Linked DNA regions of Macaca mulatta. The protein of the gene in region 1 purifies or fractionates together with the protein of each later gene. This does not show direct contact. Links are inferred from orthologs where the notes say so. Each region holds a gene or a part of one and is shown in the gene's direction. Other genes may lie near its edges.

Evidence for each region.
Region 2: the proteins of RSU1 (region 1) and PARVA purify together in Homo sapiens (affinity purification with mass spectrometry; 3 studies listed by BioGRID and IntAct, counting the BioPlex papers as one, with this or other methods). This does not show direct contact. The link is inferred for Macaca mulatta from reciprocal best matches to the Homo sapiens genes RSU1 and PARVA.

The regions. Positions count from the first base shown.
Region 1 is NC_133414.1:18,236,721-18,240,533, reverse strand, and holds part of RSU1 (ras suppressor protein 1), read left to right. Parts: intron 1-2,248; coding exon 2,249-2,381; intron 2,382-3,813. UniProt on the Homo sapiens protein: Potentially plays a role in the Ras signal transduction pathway. Capable of suppressing v-Ras transformation in vitro.
Region 2 is NC_133419.1:53,087,910-53,091,822, reverse strand, and holds the start of PARVA (alpha-parvin), read left to right. Parts: upstream 1-1,263; 5' UTR 1,264-1,321; coding exon 1,322-1,457; intron 1,458-1,531; exon of another isoform or gene 1,532-1,782; intron 1,783-3,913. UniProt on the Homo sapiens protein: Plays a role in sarcomere organization and in smooth muscle cell contraction. Required for normal development of the embryonic cardiovascular system, and for normal septation of the heart outflow tract.

The DNA.
Region 1 (3,813 bases):
TCTTTTGATCTTTGACGGTTTAAAGTCTGTTTTATCAGAGACTAGTATTGCAACCCCTGCTTTTTTTTGTTCTCCATTTGCTTGGTAAATCTTCCTCCATCCCTTTATTTTGAGCCTATGTATGTCTCTGCGTGTGAGATGGGTCTCCTGAATACAGCAGACTGATGAGTCTTGACTCTTTCTCCAGTTTGCCAGTCTATGTCTTTTAATTGGAGCATTTAGTCCATTTACATTTAAGGTTAATATTGTTATGTGTGAACTTGATCCTGCCATTATGATATTAACTGGTTATTTTGCTCGTTAGTTGATGCAGTTTCTTCCTAGCCTCGATGGTCTTTACATTTTGGCATGTTTTTGCAATGGCTGGTACCGGTTGTTCCTTTCCATGTTTAGTGCTTCCTTCAGGGTCTCTTGTAAGGCAGGCCTAGTGGTGACAAAATCTCTAAGCATTTGCTTATCTGTAAAGGATTTTATTTCTCCTTCACTTATGAAACTTAGTTTGGCTGGATATGAAATTCTGGGTTTAAAATTCTTTTCTTTAAGAATGTTGAATATTGGCCCCCACTCTCTTCTGGCTTGGAGAGTTTCTGCCGAGAGATCTGCTGTTAGTCTGATGGGCTTCCCTTTGTGGGTAACCCGACCTTTCTCTCTGGCTGCCCTTAAGATTTTTTCCTTCATTTCAACTTTGGTGAATCTGGCAATTATGTGTCTTGGAGTTGCTCTTCTCGAGGAGTATCTTTGTGGCGTTCTCTGTATTTCCTGGATTTGAATGTTGGCCTGCCCTACTAGGTTGGGGAAGTTCTCCTGGATGATATCCTGAAGAGTGTTTTCCAACTTGGTTCCATTTTCCCCCTCACTTTCAGGCACCCCAATCAGACGTAGATTTGGTCTTTTTACATAATCCCATACTTGTTGCAGGTTTTGTTCATTTCTTTTTCTTCTTTTTTCTTTTGGTTTCTCTTCTCGCTTCATTTCATTCATTTGATCCTCAATTGCAGATACTCTTTCTTCCAGTTGATCGAGTCGGTTACTGAAGCTTGTGCATTTGTCACGTATTTCTCGTGTCATGGTTTTCATCTCTTTCATTTCGTTTATGACCTTCTCTGCATTAATTACTCTAGCCATCAATTCTTCCACTTTTTTTTCAAGATTTTTAGTTTCTTTGCGCTGGGTACATAATTCCTCCTTTAGCTCTGAGAAATTTGATGGACTGAAGCCTTCTTCTCTCATCTCGTCAAAGTCATTCTCCGTCCAGCTTTGATCCGTTGCTGGCGATGAGCTGCGCTCCTTTGCCGGGGGAGATGCGCTCTTATTTTTTGAATTTCCAGCTTTTCTGCCCTGCTTTTTCCCCATCTTTGTGGTTTTATCTGCCTCTGGTCTTTGATGATGGTGATGTACTGATGGGGTTTTGGTGTAGGTGTCCTTCCTGTTTGATAGTTTTCCTTCTAACAGTCAGGACCCTCAGCTGTAGGTCTGTTGGAGATTGCTTGAGGTCCACTCCAGATCCTGTTTGCCTCAGTTGAAAATGCAGAAATCACCGGTCTTCTGTGTCGCTTGTGCTGGGAGTTGGAGACTGGAGCTGTTCCTATTCGGCCATCTTGCTCCGCCCCCAAGTTTCCATTTCTTTACCTACAAAGTAATATTAGTATCTGACCTTACGGATTGCTGGAGAATGAAATGAGGAATGATTTTAAAAGGTCATTAGTCTTTAACACTGCCATGTTAATGAGATTCATTTAGGGCTGATTGCGAGATGTGCTTATGCTCTTATACTTGAGTGACAACAATTTGACTTGGGTAACATTCCTGTCTTTCTCCATTTATACGCTGTCTTGATTGATGAAAAAAGTGGTGTTGATCAGATTGGGTCCAGATCAGCCAGGACAAGGCGTGATGCATACTGACATTGTCAAGATAGAATTTCAAGTGGTTTTCATATTATCACTTGTCTTAATCTTGAACAGGTCATTTTTGTCTCTGCAGCAAATATCTCCTTCCCTCCGCTCTGCTTCCCTTTTCCATCTGTCTTCTTTCTTCCTTCCTTTGTTCTTAATTTCTTGGGCCAAGGTACTGTCATGACTGTGTACCTGTGATGACTCAGGTTAAGAAATTTAAAAGACATCAAATGATCCGGGAGGTACTTAGGGTTTGATTTAGGGTACTTAGGCTGTGTTTACTGAGAAGGACTTCTTAGACCTGCTCCGTATTGGATGAAGTGACCTTCACTTTTTTTTTTTTTTTCCTCCAGGAAACTTGGATTTAACTGGTCAGAAGCAGGTATTCAAAGCAGAGAACAATCCCTGGGTGACCCCCATTGCAGACCAGTTCCAGCTTGGTGTGTCCCATGTGTTTGAGTATATCCGTTCTGAGACATACAAATAGTAAGTAGACTCTGATTTTCTGAAATAGTAGACTGTGATTTTATAGTATTTATAATTATGTCTTTAAAAATATTATGTGACAGTATCCTATTGGTGGCAGTTAACACTTAGCATTTTAAAATGTTCTATTAAAAGCTGCATGTTGGCCAGGTGTGGTATGGCTCACACCTGTAATCCTAGCATTTGGGGAAGTCGAGACTGAAGGATTGCTTGAGCCCAGGAGTTTGAGACCAGCCTGGGCAACATAGCAAGACCCCATCTCTACAAAAGAAAAAGAAATTATCCAGGCATGATAGTGCATGCTTGTCATTGTAGCTATTCTGGAGGATCACTTGAGCTCAGGAGATTTGAGGCTGCACTGAGCCGTGGTCATGCCCTGCACTCGAGCCTGGGTGAGAGAGCAAGACCCTTTCTCAAAAGAAAAAAACAAAAACAAGAAAAACAGCATGTGGTCATTGTCTCTACTTGTAAATTGTTTTTTATTGACATTTTCAAGGGAATTTTTACCGATTTTCTTTAGAGAATTTTTGAGATATTAAATTAGTTGAATGTTCATGGCACTAAGGAAATTCACCATTCAGATGAGAACATATTTTTTTCTTCTGTGAATGCAAAGAATTACAAGTGTTCTGAACAAAATTGTTAAGCAGTTTATTTATAAAATCAGTAGAGAGTACTAGCAATGCGTCATTCTATTACAGAGAAGCTTTTACTCTAGTGAGAGGATAATCTCTTAGAGAAAAGGAAAAGGCAGGAGAGGAAGCGGAATCTGCCGGCTTAAAGTCACAGCACCAAAATACCTCAAGTCCTCACTCCAGGTGAAAGGAGTCTGTGCAAAACTGTCCCAAAAACCTCACCATTCCTGTTTCTTTATTCCTCCATGTGTCAAGGCTGAAAGGAATTCTGCCACTTCCACGTGCTTCTGTTGTTATATCTACCATCATTATTTTCCTACCTTACCCCAATCCCCAGCTGCAAAACAAACTGTCATTTATCACAATGTTTACCTGACCCCAAATGCTGAGATCTAGTATAATTTTAAGCATCTACAAAAAAGACAAAAACATCCACAGTTAAATGTAATCTGTTTTTGTGTCTGGCGTCAACTTTTAAAATTTATTTTTAATTAATTTATTTATTTCTTTAAGAGACAGAGTCCCACTGTATTGCTAGACTGGAATGCAGTGGCACAGTCACAGCTCACTGCAGCCTCAAGCACCTGGGCTCAGGCAATCCTTCCACCTCAGCCTTTCAAGTAGCTGGGACTACAGGCACTTACCACCATGCCCAGCTAATTTTTTATTTTTTGCAGAGACGGAGCCTCCCTATGTTGCCCAGGCTGGTCTCAAACTCCTGGTATCAAGCAGTCCTACTGCTTTGGTCTTCCAAAGTGCTGGGATTACAGTCATGAGCCACCATGTCCAGCCTGGCA
Region 2 (3,913 bases), on another chromosome or scaffold:
TCTGGGAAAACATTCCAGGTCCAAGCAGCTACTCCCCACGGTTTCCATTAGGCAGACCAAGTGGCTTTTTGAGCACACTTCTTTGCTCCTTTCTTTTGTTTCCCTACTCGTCAGCAGGCACGTGGTTAGAAACAGCCACCCCAGTCTTGACTGCGAGTGATCATCAGTCACGAGCACAACTTCTGACAACAGTCTCTCCAGCTTAGTGCAGAGTCTTAACTGGGGCTAGCCAATCGGCTGCTCTTCAGTAAAGCAGTAGCGCCCTTTGGATTAGTTGTTCACCCACGTTCAATCAGCCGTAGCCTAGAGGGAAGGGGCCATAAGGAGGAAACACAGTTGCTAAGGCGCTGTGAGTCCGTGTGTGAGAGAGACAGAGGGACAAACAGCCCGAGTGAGAACTTGAGATGGGCAAGCACAATAACACGTGCCTTTTAATCATTTCCAGTACGAGTCCTTCAAACACTGTGCTTTGTGTGACTCCCCTGTTATCTCAAATGAGTCTGGTTGTCACTCTCTTGATTTTATTTAGCAGGATAAATTCTCGGGGAGGTCCTGTAGGAGCTCATGGTTGTGCTTTTCCCATTCATGTTTCCACTACCATGTGTGATCTTCGTTTATATAAGCTGCTAGAAACACGGATGTCTTACAATAAGCAGCCTCGGCTTTACCCTTGTGCACTCCAGGCTTCTCAGTCTCGGAAGGGAGTAGAGAAGAGGAGGTTGACTATCATGGATAGGTTCAGGAGTGATTGGTTCTGCCCACTTTGGTGGGGCCTGGACGCATTTTGGTTCACTCTAGTAATTTCTTCCAGGAGCTGCAGTCTTGTGGGCGCAAGACGTGGGCCTGATAACTCCACAGGCAGTAGTGCTGGGGAAGAGCGAGCTCACCAGCCCCGGCTGGAAGACCTTGGGAGAGTAGCAGGGTTGGGTTGTTTCTCAGATTTGCTTTGCCCCAGGCTGTGTGATGGGTGCAGAGCCTGGGTAAATGAAGCTTTCCAGCTCGAGCGCTCCCAACCTGGGCACACACGGCCTCCTGTACTGCAAGTGGCAGTTTTGGGGCATCCCCCCTGCTTGGGGCAACCCAGGGGCGCAGGGCGCGGCCCCGGGAGCGCAGCTCCTTCCAGGGCAGAGGGCGGTGCGAGGGAGGGAGCGAGGGAGGGAGCGAGGGAAGGGAAAGGCGAGCGTGAGCTGCCTCAAATGCTTGGAATAATTCCGCTTCCGTTTGGAAAGCCGCAGCCTCAGCCCGCCGCCGCCGCCGCCCGCCGCGTCCGCCCAGCGCCAGCTCCGCGTCCCGACCGGCCCGCGGCTGCCTGAGCCGCGCCATGGCCACCTCCCCGCAGAAGTCGCCTTCTGTCCCCAAGTCTCCCACTCCTAAGTCGCCTCCGTCCCGCAAGAAAGATGATTCCTTCTTGGGGAAACTCGGAGGGACCCTGGCCCGGAGGAAGAAAGCCAAGGAGGGTGAGTGCGGCCAGGCAGGCCGGGCGGGCGGTAGGAGCTGGGGGGTGCCATAGGGGCCGAGGGGCCGGGGCGCTGGGGCCGTTCGGGAGCGCGCGGCGATGAGTGCACGCGCTTCCCGGGCACGTCGGGCAGGAGCGACTCGCGCGCCACACTGAGCCTGGGGCTCGCGGGCCATCGAGGCCGCCCCTCCCGCTTGCGGCGTTGCCCTCCTGGGCCGGAGACCAGGCCGACGCCCCCGCCGGGCAGTGGGCAGGCGCCGCTTGGCGGCCGGAGGCGGCGGGACCGTAGCCCAGGCGGGGCCCCAGACCGCAGGCAGCGCGATCCGGTAGGCCCTGCCCCGCCCTCTGCGCCCGAAGGCTGGCATTTCCCAAGTTTCCGCCGCAACTTTCCTGGGCGCCGTCACTCTCACTCGTTGACTTCATTGGTCCTTAAAATCAGGTCGTTTCCTGGACCTGCTGACGTCTTGTGGTAGCAGCGTCGTGGCGTTGGCCTCTTCGGATCTTTTGTCCATCCCGAGGGCCGAGAAGGGCCCTGTTAATGGAGTAGGTGGACATCGAGTGTTTGTTGAATGAATGAGCGAAAAACTGGCAAACCTAGCGTGCCCTCGGTGTAATACACGATAAACCCCTACCAAAGGAGAAAACCTGCGTGAGACACAAACATCGTCGTGGGCCTCCCCCCGCCCCACCAGAGTGAATTGAGGCGACCTTATTCTTTTTTTTTTTTTTTTTTTTTTTTTCAGGGTAGTTTGCATGTAGAATATTTTTTGCCCATGGGCAGATTTTGCGTCCTGGTTTTTGGTTTGAAAACTGAGGTGGCAGTTCTCAAGAAGCACTGATGTGTAGATAGAAGATTGGTGTGTAGATAGAAGTTGCTGAGTTAAAATTTTTTGTTTTAAACATTTTTTGAATTGACGCATGATGTACATAGTTTTGGGGCACATGTGATTAATACATTCATATAATTTGTAAAGCTCAAGTTGTTACAGGAAAGGGGTCCCAATCCAGACCCCAAGAGAGGGTTCTTGGATCTCACACAAGAAAGCATTCAGGATGAGTCCACACAGTAAAGTGAAAGCAAGTTTATTAAGAAAGTAGATGAATAAAAGAATGGCTACTCCATAGACAGAGCAGCCTGGGGATGCTGGTTGTCCATTTTTATGGTTATTTCTTGATGGTATGCTAAACAAGGGGTGGATTATTCATGCCTCCTCTTTAGACCATATAGGGTAACGTTGCCATGGCATGTGTAAACTGTCATGGTACTGGTGGGAGTGTATCAATGCAGAAGACCAGTGTCTGCACTGATGGCCATTTTGGTTTTGGGTTTTAGCCGACTTCTTTACTGCAACCTGTTTTATCAGCAAGGTCTTTATGACCTGTGTCTTGTGCCGACATCCTATCTCATCCTGTAAGTTAGAATGCCTTAACCTTCTGGGAGTGCAGTCCAGTGGGTCTCACTCAGCCTTATTTTACCTAGCCCCATTCAAGATGGAGTTGCTCTGGTTCACATGCCTCTGACAAAATCAGTGTACTTGGGATATCCATCACCTTAAATATTTGCCTTTTCTCTATGCTAGACCACTGGAATTCTAGATATTTTGAAATATACAAGAGGTTATTGTAAAATATAGTTACTTTACCAATCTAACACTAGGTCTTCTTCTATCAAATGGTATATTTGTAACCATTAATCAACTTCTCTTGCCCCCTAAAAAATGTTTTTAATAGATTGCCCGTGAATTGGAAATAACCTTTTGAAAGCTGTGATGCTGTGTAAAATGTTTCATGTTTGTAAGTCATCTTAAAGTATAAAAACGTCTTCAGTGTTCAGGATTATCAGACTTGAAGAACTAGACTTCTGTTCTTTAGATTGAAATGAGAAGCAGCAAAAACATACGAAAGTTTCCCCACATTGGTTATTTTGGTAACCCACTGAGTAGTGTACAGTTGGTGGCAAATCATGAAACCCTGGCTTGGGAAGCTTTTTTCTAGACCATGTTTCTAACTTATTCCTTACAGCATTCCTGACATAGTCTCATCCGGTTTAAGATGGGGCAACTGAGAAATATTGAAGCTCATGCAATAAAAAATATCTGCTACCAGGAGAACCATCTTTACCTACTCTGTAGAAAGGTTTATTTTATATTTAGCCCAAAATGTATCTCTCTGTACCTATTACTGTTGGAGCCAGAGAATGAGTCTGGGGTGGCCTTTTATTGATACCTTGCTGAAGTAGGCTATCCTGCTTTCTTGAGTCTTCTCGCCACTGGGCCCAACATCCTCTATTCCTCACAGACATAATTTTAAGGTCTTTTGCATCCTGTCTCTTTAGTTTCAGTCAGGGTCCCTGCAGGAAAAAGGCCAATTTGTTGAGATTTTGAAAATAGTTTAGTGAAGGGGCTATTGACAGAGCTGTGGGCAGGGTTAAGGGAACTAAGACGGGATGCTGAGGTC